Rattus norvegicus: one gene and its partners. The protein of the gene in region 2 purifies or fractionates together with the protein of the main gene of each other region. This does not show direct contact. Links are inferred from orthologs where the notes say so. Each region holds a gene or a part of one and is shown on either strand. Other genes may lie near its edges. The genes, in order: Psme4, Psmb1 and Fbxo7.

Region 1 (3,725 bases), on a different chromosome or scaffold from region 2:
AATTTTTAACAACGTTTGATTAGAATGAAGTGTAGGGATACGAGTAGATTATAACAGTCTCTGCTTTAAAGTCTATAGATCTCCATGCCTTGGTAACAAGTAACAGTGAGAGAAAAGTGTTTTTGGTTGAGAGCAGCTGTGCAGAGCCTCCCTAGCCACATAGCACGCATGGCACTAAGGAAAGCTCAGAACTGCAGTGTAACAACTGGGAAGAAATGAAGCACAGCATTGGGAGGAGCTCAAGAAAAACAGGAAGAAGGAAAAGGCCTTTAAAAGTGACTCTGAACCTAGAATTGGATCTAACAAAATTAAGTTCAACAAAAAAGAAAAAAAAAACATTCAATGATAAGGAAGGGGGTGGTGGAGGACCATGGCTTACTTTGGCCAGTTGTAGTATCCCCAGTGAGTTTTTTCAACAAAGCAACTTGACTCCCATTCTTTTTTTGTTCTTGGTATATTTTTGCTATCATAATGCAACCAATGGTTATCAGGTCTATCACCAGCAAGAACTGTGGCAGGTTTAGGACATCCACCTAAAGAAAAGGTATTCAGATTTAATAATTTGAAAACAATAACTCCATTAGCTGTTCCAGACTTCCAATACATAATTCTACTACCTTCTTTTAAAAAGGCAGTGTCACTTTATAGCCTTTGCTGGTCTAGAACTCAAAGATCCACCTGCCTCTGCCTCGAAAGTATTGGGATGAGATATGCACTACCATTCTCTGACTATAACTCCCTTAAAAATATATACTTGTATAAATTATAGTTGTGCACTGCCTGATATGGGTGCAGGAAATAGAACTTGGTTCTTGCATAAAAATAATGTATGTACATAAACACTGAGCTTCCTCTCTAGCTCTACCTGCAACACTTAACAAGAAATCACTTTTAAATAATGTCTTTAAAAGACCATATTATTGTCTATATGGCTCACCAGGTAAAGATACCTGTTAACAAGCATAGTAGCCTGCGTTCAAGCACCCTGACCCACACGGTTAAGAGAGAAAAACTCATTGTTGTACTTTGACCTCCACATAAACATGATGGCATATGTGCACCCGTGTACACAAATATGAAAAGAATTGGCATGGGTAAGGTTAGGGTTAGGAGAAAGGGTCAGGTGGGAGTTTGAGGAGGGAAAGGGGGTTTATGTTGAACTATTGAGGGAAAGATGGGATATATGGATTTGGGATTGTTAACTGTTAGGAGAATATGATTACTAAATTATAAGGGCTCGTTAAAACATTTGGTTCTGAATTAATTTCAAGCTTTTTACAAAGCTCAAGGAATTTTTTAACATTATTCTTCACTTACAGTCCTCATACTTTTACACATTACCCTATAGATATTTTAACATATTCTCTTTCCCTACACACATACATATTGGAATTGTTTTATGGGAATTGCTCTCATAATGTCTCTACACCCCACAGTACAGAATACAAAAGTATTTCCTAAGAATGTTCTTTTATATATCAAAACAGTTCTCAAAATAATTAAATTAACATTGATTCTGTGTCATTAATTTTATCAACACACCTTACTAAAATTTTAGTCCATTTATCCACATGTATGTTCTTTATTTCAAAAGAAAGTTTCTTGAGACATTTTTCTGTAGACTATAGTCTAATCCAAAATTAAAATATTACACTTTCAGGGCAGTGGTGCATGCCTTAATCCCAGCACTTGGGAGGCAGAGGAAGGTGGATCTCTTGAGTTTGAGCCACTCTAGTCTACAGAGTAAGTTCCAGGACACCCAGAAACCCTGTCTCAAAAAAACAAAAGAACAAAAAAATAAGTAAATAAATATAAAGGGGGAAAATTCCAAGAACACAGTAAGAAAAGTAGATCTTTTCTAATCTTCTTGCTCAGAAATACTCAATGGATTATGTTAACACAGCTCAAGCTGACTTTTGAAATCTGAACCTTTCTCCCTGTGCTACCACTCCTAACCCTGTGAATACTCAGGAAATGTTCTACGTGTTATTTAAAGGCATTGTTATTTACTTGGGGTATTACTTACTGATTTCATAAGGGTTGATGGTCAGCTTTTTGTGAGTTCTCTTTAGCTGCTTGAGAATACCAGCAACAGCTGAGATAGCCATCTACAAACAGGTTAACACGTTTATATCAACATTTTGAAAAAACTCTCTTATGACATGCTGTACCATAGTAAAAACTGATTTTATTTTCAAAAAACCCTCCTCCCAAAAGGAGCTTATATTCTCTCTAGGTAGGAGTGTAAACTCATGCAGACTCTGTGCAGAAGTTTCTCAAAGACTAGGTCCCCCAAAGAACTCTGTATCCTGTCACAAAGATACTTGTGTATCTATGTTCAATGGTGTACTTCTGACAATGGCAACGAAGTGGAATCAGCCTGGATGTCCATCAACAGACAGATAATGAAAATGTGCTACACATAAGTGAAATTTTACTCAACCATAAATGGAAAAATGGTATTCACAAATGGATGTAGAAATCATAGTAAGTAAAGTATCCCGGACGTAGAAAGACAACCAATACATTGCCGTCTTTTATACAGATCCATAGCTTCTAATTTATAAACAAGTTATTTATGTACAGTGAGCCCGAGAAAAAGAAGTCATGATGCTAGAAAGGGGACACGAGAGGGGAAAGGTTGTAAGAAAATGGGAAAGAGGGGGTGGCAAAACAGAAGATTTGAAAGTGGAAAGGGTAATACCAGGTGAGAGGTTATTGGAGAAATTAACCAAAAAAGTGCACATGAACACGTTAGGCTTCGCTGGATGGCTCTGCTGCATAAGCTCAATGACCGAGTTCAATCTGATCATCCAATCCATCAGTGCAAGTAGAGACCTATCTCCCAGGAGCTGTCCTTTGACTGCCACAATATACTGCAGTGTTTTGTGTGTGTGTGTGTGTGTGTGTGTGTGTGTGTGTGTGTGTGTGTGAGAGAGAGAGAGAGAGAGAGAGAGAGAGAGAGAGAGAGAGAGAGAGTAGATATTTAGATAAAGAGTTAAGAGTTAATTAACTAAAGGAATATACTGTCTACCACTTGCCACTGGTGGGAGGAGCACAAACATTCAACTAGGAATCTACCAGTGTGTCCACCTTTGAACCTCTGCTCAAAGAACTGCCCTTCCTTTTTAGGTCAACAGTAGCTCATCCCGTTTGTGTTGGCCTCTGGGCCTTTTAATGGGTTTCTTCCAGAAGTGGACAAAGCCAGAATCCTTCTTCAAGCTCATTTGTAACACTTTTAGAACAAAGCCAAAAATTGAACCCTTAGATTTGACCCTCTGCTTGCAAAATGGATTTTTGAATTTTTAAAAGTCAAACTTTCCTATTAGTCTGTAAGTTTATTCTTGTTATAGCTACAGCATTAAATGTATAAAATGCCTGATTATGCCTCCCAATATTTGTTGAACAAGTTATTACTGTTTCTGAGCAAACAGAAGGAGATGCTAAATCATTCCTTTCAAGGTACTGGTTAGACGTTGTCTATGAAGAATTTAAAGAGTTTGTTGAGGTAGATATTCTCAAACCGAACACAGTAACCAAAATAAGTAAAGTATGTACCTTTCGAACAACGATTGCATCATGGTTGAGATTTTCAACAAAAAAACGTATGGCACGAAGAGGCAACACTCTGTCATCCCTTAGGAGTAAAGACAGAAGCCCGATTCCTATATGCTCAAATTTCCAAGGCCTGGTAGTTGAGAGAATGAGAGAAGGTACTTACAAAT
Region 2 (3,600 bases):
TCTCGACTGGAGCCCGGCTTGTTGTGCTTAAACTGTGAGACACTCGTGAAAGAAAGGGGTTGGGTTGGTGTCCCAGCATTTTCGGGACCAGGCCTCTGACCGCCCTTTCTAGCTGTCAAAGAGAGATGTAGAGTGTGTAGCGGGAACAGTATTGGGGATGTGGCTATGGGGATCAGGCTCAAGCAAGCGTTCTACCACTGAACTGTATACATCCTCGATCTTCCACGTGTTGTTTTTGTTTTTTTGAGAGTTTCTCCTTGTCGCTCTGGCTGTCTTGGGACTCACTCTTGTAGAACAGGCTGGTCTTGAACTCAAGAGATCGCTTGGCAAGCTCACTGGGTCCTCCACTTTGCTCTGTAGAGTTGAATGATAGTAGTAGTTGCCTCTTAGAGATTTGTGAGATGGATAACGTGAATGGCAAGCAGACGCTTCTTATTATGTTCTCAGTAAATGTCAACTTGCGTCCAAAGAGGAACAGCAAAACAAGCGGCTTTGTAGTCACAGACTCATTTCTATTTTAACTCTGCTACTACCAGCTCTCGTCCTTGCTGTCACAAGAAAACGTCAGCTGTTTCTTAGACTGGTTCTTAATGCTTGATTTGATTCCAACATACCTTAATTTTTTCCTTCCATGGTTCACCTAGGCATATACATGTGTTGTTGTGCTTACTCCCCCCCCCCCCGGTGTGTGTGTGTGTGTGTGTGTGTGTGTGTGTGTGTGATAGAGAGAAAGAGAAAGAGAGAGAGAGAGAGAGAGAGAGAGAGAGAGAGAGAGAGAGAGAAGAGAATCTGTGTGTTGTGTATAGCTGTTGAATAGGTTGCCATATGCATAGACTCTAATAAGTACAATAGTATTGTGTATCTATTTTCTCCTAAAGGAAACATTTTCTCTTGGAAGTACAGGAAACCACAGAAGACTGGGGAATTAAGAAAACTTAACAAAGGCCTGACAAGAGACAATTTATGGGAAGCAGATTTATTTTGGCTTAGTGCTTGAGGGGCTACAATCCAGGGGAGAGCATGACACCTGGACTGCATCCACAAATCGGAAGCATAAATTAGATAAATATTAGTTCGCTTCTTTATTTAGTCCGGAAATCCAGGCAATGAGGTGGTACTGCTTATATTTTGGTTGGGTCTTTCCTCTTCTATTAAACCTTCTTGAAACACCCGCATAGACATGCCCATGGGTTTTACCTAGGTGATGCTAAATTCTGTGAAGTTAACAATATTAACCATCAGATTCTGACTGGAAACCTAGTATTGCTTCCTGGGTCTCATGGCTGCATACACCACACAGTTGACTACGCATCCCGATTCTCAGGCCTTGAATGCAGCAGGAACCACTAACCCTTCCCAAACGCTATGCCACTTCACCAATGTGACATCCGAGTTGTCGTTACTCTGTAATTGGGTTAATTTGTTGGTATAGTCGGACTTTTAATTTTCTATCCGCCATGAGTAAATCCAAATGTTTTCTTGGGATTATAAAACAGGTCTCTCGGAATCGGCAGATCCAGGTTGTGCGGTAGTTGGATGCAGGCGTGGACCTCCAAGAGCAGCGACGAGTACAGGCTAGAGGAGCCCAAGGGGCGGGGCGAGGGAGGCGGAAGTGGACCGGTCCCAGCGGCCATTTTGCCGTGAGACAGCAGGAGTTAGGCGCGATGCTTTCCACTGCCGCTTACCGGGACCCGGACCGAGAGCTGGTAATGGGGCCTCAGGGCTCCGCCGGCCCTGTGCAGATGCGTTTCTCGCCTTATGCCTTCAACGGAGGGTAAAATCCTGGGTGTGCTGCGCTCATCTTGGTTGAGTCCTGGGGTCGCTGCGGGCGGGTGTGGGAATGGCGGAGATGTAGCCTGCTGCCCGGCACTCCAGAGTTGTGCATGAACGCCCTTGGTGCCGTTTGCTTCAGCAGGGCGGGTCCCACTTTAACTCTTAGCTCTATGGGCTATCGTTTGGTAGGGCTTAAACACGTTTCTAAAGCCAGCGCGTGAACATGAAGTTATGAATTGTCTTGATTGTTAGACGAGTAGCTGTTTATTATCGCTGAGTCGTCTGATCATTTATTATATTAAAAGGAAAATAATATAATTAGCCAGACCTAATTCCAGGGATGAAAAGTTAAGGTGGTTCTACTCTTGAGAGACGTAATCTGCTGGGCAAGTTCTACTGAGCTGCATCCCCAGCCTTAGACAGTCGGACCCTTTGTGTGTGTTTATTTTTACTCTCAAATTACTTGTGCATTTTAATCATCCGTTTTATTCGAAGGGATGGTCCTTTCAGTTATTTGAGCTACTTTATAGGTTGAGGAAGACTCAAAGTGGTTACTCTTTTTTTGTAAATTTCAAGCAGTTAAGTGAATATTTTATACTCTTAGTTCTTGGCTCTTGGCATTTTAAACAGCCCAGGTCATAGAGCTGGTGTGAATTAGAACTGGTTTTCAGTTCATAGCGTTCTCAGCCTTGTCCAGTTTCGGTTTGCTTTTCCAGTTGCTTAACTCTGCACGTGAACACTAAGTACTTACATCGTAAGGTGTGTTAATATAATAATTTCCAGGTGTTTCAAATGCAGTACTCACGATTCACTTTTTAACTCTCAGTTCTTACCTGTCACTTTGTTCATAGTTACTTAAACCTGCCTGATAAATAACCTTTCTCCTTTCTCTTTCATACCTTTTAGCATTTATTGCAACTAGCCCTTCATGCAGCTTCTGATTCTACAGTATATTAATTTCTCTTTGTAGCTTCCAGGTTTTGTTACTTTAGACCTTTACTTGCCTCATCCCTGGGAACATAATTCCCAAGTCTGTTTCTGTAACTTTATTTCTCAAAAGTCCCCTCAGTTCTGGCCTCGTTGTAAAACCATTTCTAACTGCATTTTCAGTTCTCAACATAACTCAAGTTAGTAAACAAAATAAGCGAGGTAGTTACTGCTACTCCTTCCTTGAACGGACCCCTTGTGATGATGTATGTCATCACCCTGCTTGGGTCAGTTTAAAGGGGTGGGGTATGTTGTTTTCCTCACTAAGCACATTTAGGGAGTAGTAAAACCTTGGTTGCACACAGTGGTATTGTATTTGAATTTGTCCTTCTTCCTCTGTCATCCTTTCTCCCTTCTGTTTCACCACTTGTATTGGAGCAGTATTTATGTCCCATTTCACATGCTGTACTATTGTCAGAATTGTCCTAAAACCTCACTTTGCAAATGGAGCATTCTCATTCTTGTTCTTTGTGACCTTCAGGACTCCTTGCTAAAATTCTAAACTCTAGCTTGGCACAGTCCATCACATGAGGATTATGTCTCTGGTTACACAAAAATGACCACCTTAATTAAGTTGCCTGAGTGGCCTGTGGTGATACTTCTTTTTTCCTTCTGTTGCTGTTCATAGGTATTTGGAATGCCATTCTTTTTTGCTTTGGAATTTTAGTACAAAACTTGCCTCAGTAAAAATAGTAGGTAATGTTTTCTGGATGTTTATTTCCAAGAAGGAAATATGTTAGGTACTCTATGTAACTTGTGTGTTTAATTCTCACACCCTGTGTAACACAACAATACCGTGATTACCATCAGTTTGAACATGAAGATTTAAAAGTCACACAG
Region 3 (3,825 bases), on a different chromosome or scaffold from region 2:
ATTACTGAAGCAGAACGCACGCACGCCAAGTTGGTCATGAAAACCTCTTGAAATGAAGACATGGTTTGCAAGGGGTTCACAGCGGGTTTGTCATAGCAACAGGTTGTCATAATAACCTTTTGTAATAAAGGCATGGGGCAGTACAGAGCCATTCGTAGTTATGTTTACAGGTGGGACATAGACCAATCCTTGAGAAGGAGAAATGTAATCATAAACAGGAATGGACCTAGTTTGCTTTTACTATAAGATGTCGTTTGAGCCTGAGATGAAGGCAGGCTGGTTTATCAAGATTTAACCTGGAAAGTGGAGAGCTATACTGTTGTGGCCTTCAAATCCATGGAGAGAGACCAAAGACTCAGGCTCAATTCAAATTTATATTAAGTGAGTTTATTCTTACTGCTAGCAGACGGCAGGCATCTTTAGAGCCAAAACAACATTCCATAGGGAGAAGGGGGGGGGCTAAGGATTAAGAGGGGGGTTTAAATTGGACATCAGAAAGGTGTATATTACAACTATTCACGAAATCCACAGCTGGGCAGGAAAACTGTTTTACTTTCCTCAATTGCTTCTTATCTTCCCTATGTAGTAATTAAAAGATCATTTCATCTGTTTCCCATAGCGATAGTGAGTTTTAAAGAAGCAAAGGCAGCTGTTAATACCTCACGGCCATTGTCCTATTCTTATCTCACCTGTAGGCCTCTAGGATCTCCCAGGCCGACAACAGCCCTTAAGGGATCCCTGGCTCCACATCCTTATCACCACAGGGGACCTATGTAAATTATAGGCAGGTCTGAGCACTAATGACCGGAATAGAACAGGCAAAACCAGGGCCATCAGGTTAGGGCGTCTGTCACGTCTGCACACTGTGGGCAGCGCTCGTTCCAGCGCTAAAGATCCTGCAAGCTGGGACCGAAAGAACGAACTCGCTCACCCGGGCGGAAGCGCACAGGGTGTAGCGTGGGCACTCGGCGCAAGGCAGCGAACTCAGCGCCTGCGCCGTGCGCGCCTCGCCCCCCAGGTGGCGCTGTCGCGCCCAGAGCCACCGATAGAGAAGCGCAGGCGCTCGGCACTCGGCTCGAGCAGAAGGCTCTAGGGGGCGTGGTGGAGAGAGCGGCGAGCTGGGATTCCTCAGGCGCGCAGGCCCGGAGCTACTTGCTTTCGGTTTCTCCCCGGGCCGACCGAGGCTTGCGGTCCGCTCACCATGAAGCTGCGCGTGCGGCTTCAAAAGCGGACCCAGCCGCTCGAGGTGCCGGAGTCGGAGCCGACGCTCGGGCAGCTGCGCGCGCACCTCATCCAGGACCTGCTGCCCACGTTGGGGTTCAGGTGAGCGGCGTCGCGGTCGCGGGGCTCGGGAATGGCGCGCGTCGGGCGGTCACATGAGGTCCGGGCCTCCGGGGCGTAGCTGGTCTAGACGCCTGTGACTGTGACGCTCGGCAGCTGAGTGCTGGCCGGGGTCTGGCTTTGGGAGACCATGGCCCAGCCTCCCCCTGGTGCCGCTGTCCACCATGGTGAGTAGTCACTTCCGGGTTGCTGTCACGGCCGCCCCGAGGGCGGGAGGGAAATTCGGGAAGCTTGGCTTGCGTTAAACCTCCCAGTGTAAACCCACTGTGGGTGGAATTTACCTTAGCGGTTAGGATACTTCAGTGGTTAAGTCGGGGAAAGCATCGTAGCTGAAGTGACAAACTTCTTGACATCCTACGTCGCTGTAATTTGTGCCACCGCCCAGGGCTACAGTAACAGGTGAGCGTGCATGTGCCAGACTGCACTTAACTGTAACTTTCTCACTGCAAGGTTTGGAAGTACGCATTCTTCGGGTCACTGGGCATTTTCTGGGTGAGAATGTTTGTTGCTTTTTCTCTAAAATAGAGGCTTGACCCTATAGAGCTTGCAGTTTTGTGGCAAGTTGAGAAAGGATTAGGTTCTATTACTAATTTATGGGGTTGCAGATGAAGCTTCTATGTTTCTGTAGAAGATATTTTCAGGACGTAGAGAGACAACTATATGGATGACCCATTTCAAGTGCTGAGCTAGAAATTTGAACTAGTGAAGAAAATAAAATTAGAAGATGGGCTCTGGTGCTTTTAAAGGGAAAAATGTTAAAAGAAAAACTCTTCCCGTTAATTGGCATTTTAAATAAGTCTTCCCCTTTTCACTTTATTTGTAGGGAATTAAGCAAAATGAAACTGATTAGATTGGTCACCCCCCCACCCCTCCCCATTAAGTAAGCCTGAGGTATACCTTTATTCTAGCGCTCTGGAGGAAGAGCTAGGTGTATCTTTGAGTTCATTCCGGACCAGCCAGTGTTACACAGTGAGACCCTGTCTAATAAAATAATGTTAGGCAAAATATTTTAAAAAGCCCTTTTTCACATTAAAAGAATTAAACAATGTATTCCCATATCGTATATTATATATATTTCCATATAATGGTGACCTACCTACATGTTACTCATTTGGTGTAAAACTGTTTTCTATGTTGATAACAATTGCCACTCCTCAGGCTTTGAGAATGCAATTTTTAAGGTATTTACAAATTGTATTACTTCTCAGTTAAGCTGGGCAGTTTTGAAAGGGTGTGAAACCCAGAAGCCCCTGTTAGTTTCTCTTGCCTGCTGTTTTCACAGTCGAGGTCGGTGTGAAAATCTGAAATTTTGCTCATTTGGGGTACAAAAGGGAAGCTTTAAAATGTGTCCATGTGACACACTTGTTGTTCTTAAAGAGTATTTTCTAAGTAAGCAAACCAAAGATTGGTATAAAACAGATTTTTTTTAAAGTTTGAAGCTTCCTCTTTCCTTTTTGTTTTTGTTTGGAGCTTCTAGAATTGCATTTTTTTTTGGGTGAAATTCCCCCAATGCCGGTGATTACAGAAAATAGGACCTTGGAAAAACATGCCAGAAAAGTGGGAGGGGAAGCTAGCATCTCTGTTAAACAGACGGCTCCTTATCTTGTCTACAGAAGGAATTGTTTGCTTGGGGACTGTCCCCTTTCCTGCCAAGGTTGACCTGGTGTTTTCATGGGCACTGGCAGATTTTCAGCTTCTTGCTGATCAGAACACTTTGCAAGCAGCAAGCAGAGCAGCTTACTGTCTGTGGAGTAGGAATAAATTTAACTCCAGTAACATCTTTAATTGATGAGAAAGGAAAGGATGCGTGTAAGAAAAAGGAATCGGGCTGGGGAGGTGGTGAAAGCTTTTGATGCCCAAGCCTGGCACCGGAGTTTGAAGTCCTCGCACTGATGGGAAGCCGGAAGTAAAGTGGTGTGTTAAGTTTAAGAAGCTCCTCGAGTTCAGCCATGTTGAAATACTGAAAAGTATATGCTCGAGGATCGATGAACATATGAATTAATGATAAGTATACCTTCCAGGCTATTGAAGTTTTAGTTAGAAGTCTGTGACCCAGGCATTTGATCAGAAGAACAAGTAATTTTGTCCCCTGCTTTCTTTCTTTCTTTCTTTTTTTTTTTATATTACATAGTGCTTTTGGGCACATAGCATGTACTTTAATGTATTCCAAATGCATTATTTGGAATATTGGTAGGTAGCTCTTACTATGCTCATCCGTCTTTCTTGGCAGTTCTGATACCCGATTTGCAATTACATTGAACAACAAGGATGCCCTCACTGGAGATGAAGAGACCTTGGCTTCATATGGGATTGTTTCTGGGGACTTGATATGTTTGGTTCTTGAAGATGAAATGCCGGCACCTAACTTACCTTCATCTACAGATTCAGAGCATTCCTCTCTCCAGAATAATGACCAACCTCCTTTGGCTGCCACCTCAAGCCAGGCTAACATCCCAGATGAACAAGGGAGTGATTCATCCCACG

The links.
Region 1: the proteins of Psmb1 (region 2) and Psme4 purify together in Homo sapiens (affinity purification with mass spectrometry; 3 studies listed by BioGRID and IntAct, counting the BioPlex papers as one, with this or other methods). This does not show direct contact. The link is inferred for Rattus norvegicus from reciprocal best matches to the Homo sapiens genes PSMB1 and PSME4.
Region 3: the proteins of Psmb1 (region 2) and Fbxo7 purify together in Homo sapiens (affinity purification with mass spectrometry; 3 studies listed by BioGRID and IntAct, counting the BioPlex papers as one, with this or other methods). This does not show direct contact. The link is inferred for Rattus norvegicus from reciprocal best matches to the Homo sapiens genes PSMB1 and FBXO7.

What each region holds. Positions count from the first base shown.
Region 1 is NC_086032.1:108,772,637-108,776,361, reverse strand, and holds part of Psme4 (proteasome activator complex subunit 4), read right to left. Parts: intron 3,689-3,725; coding exon 3,559-3,688; intron 2,109-3,558; coding exon 2,027-2,108; intron 534-2,026; coding exon 380-533; intron 1-379. UniProt on the Homo sapiens protein: Associated component of the proteasome that specifically recognizes acetylated histones and promotes ATP- and ubiquitin-independent degradation of core histones during spermatogenesis and DNA damage response.
Region 2 is NC_086019.1:65,132,817-65,136,416, reverse strand, and holds the start of Psmb1 (proteasome subunit beta type-1), read left to right. Parts: upstream 1-873; 5' UTR 874-1,111; intron 1,112-1,496; 5' UTR 1,497-1,664; coding exon 1,665-1,774; intron 1,775-3,581; exon of another isoform or gene 3,582-3,600. UniProt on the Homo sapiens protein: Non-catalytic component of the 20S core proteasome complex involved in the proteolytic degradation of most intracellular proteins. This complex plays numerous essential roles within the cell by associating with different regulatory particles.
Region 3 is NC_086025.1:19,722,524-19,726,348, reverse strand, and holds the start of Fbxo7 (F-box only protein 7), read left to right. Parts: upstream 1-1,168; 5' UTR 1,169-1,201; coding exon 1,202-1,323; exon of another isoform or gene 1,324-1,471; coding exon of another isoform or gene 1,472-1,508; intron 1,509-1,566; exon of another isoform or gene 1,567-1,740; intron 1,741-3,571; coding exon 3,572-3,825. UniProt on the Homo sapiens protein: Substrate recognition component of a SCF (SKP1-CUL1-F-box protein) E3 ubiquitin-protein ligase complex which mediates the ubiquitination and subsequent proteasomal degradation of target proteins and plays a role in several biological processes such as cell cycle, cell proliferation, or maintenance of chromosome stability.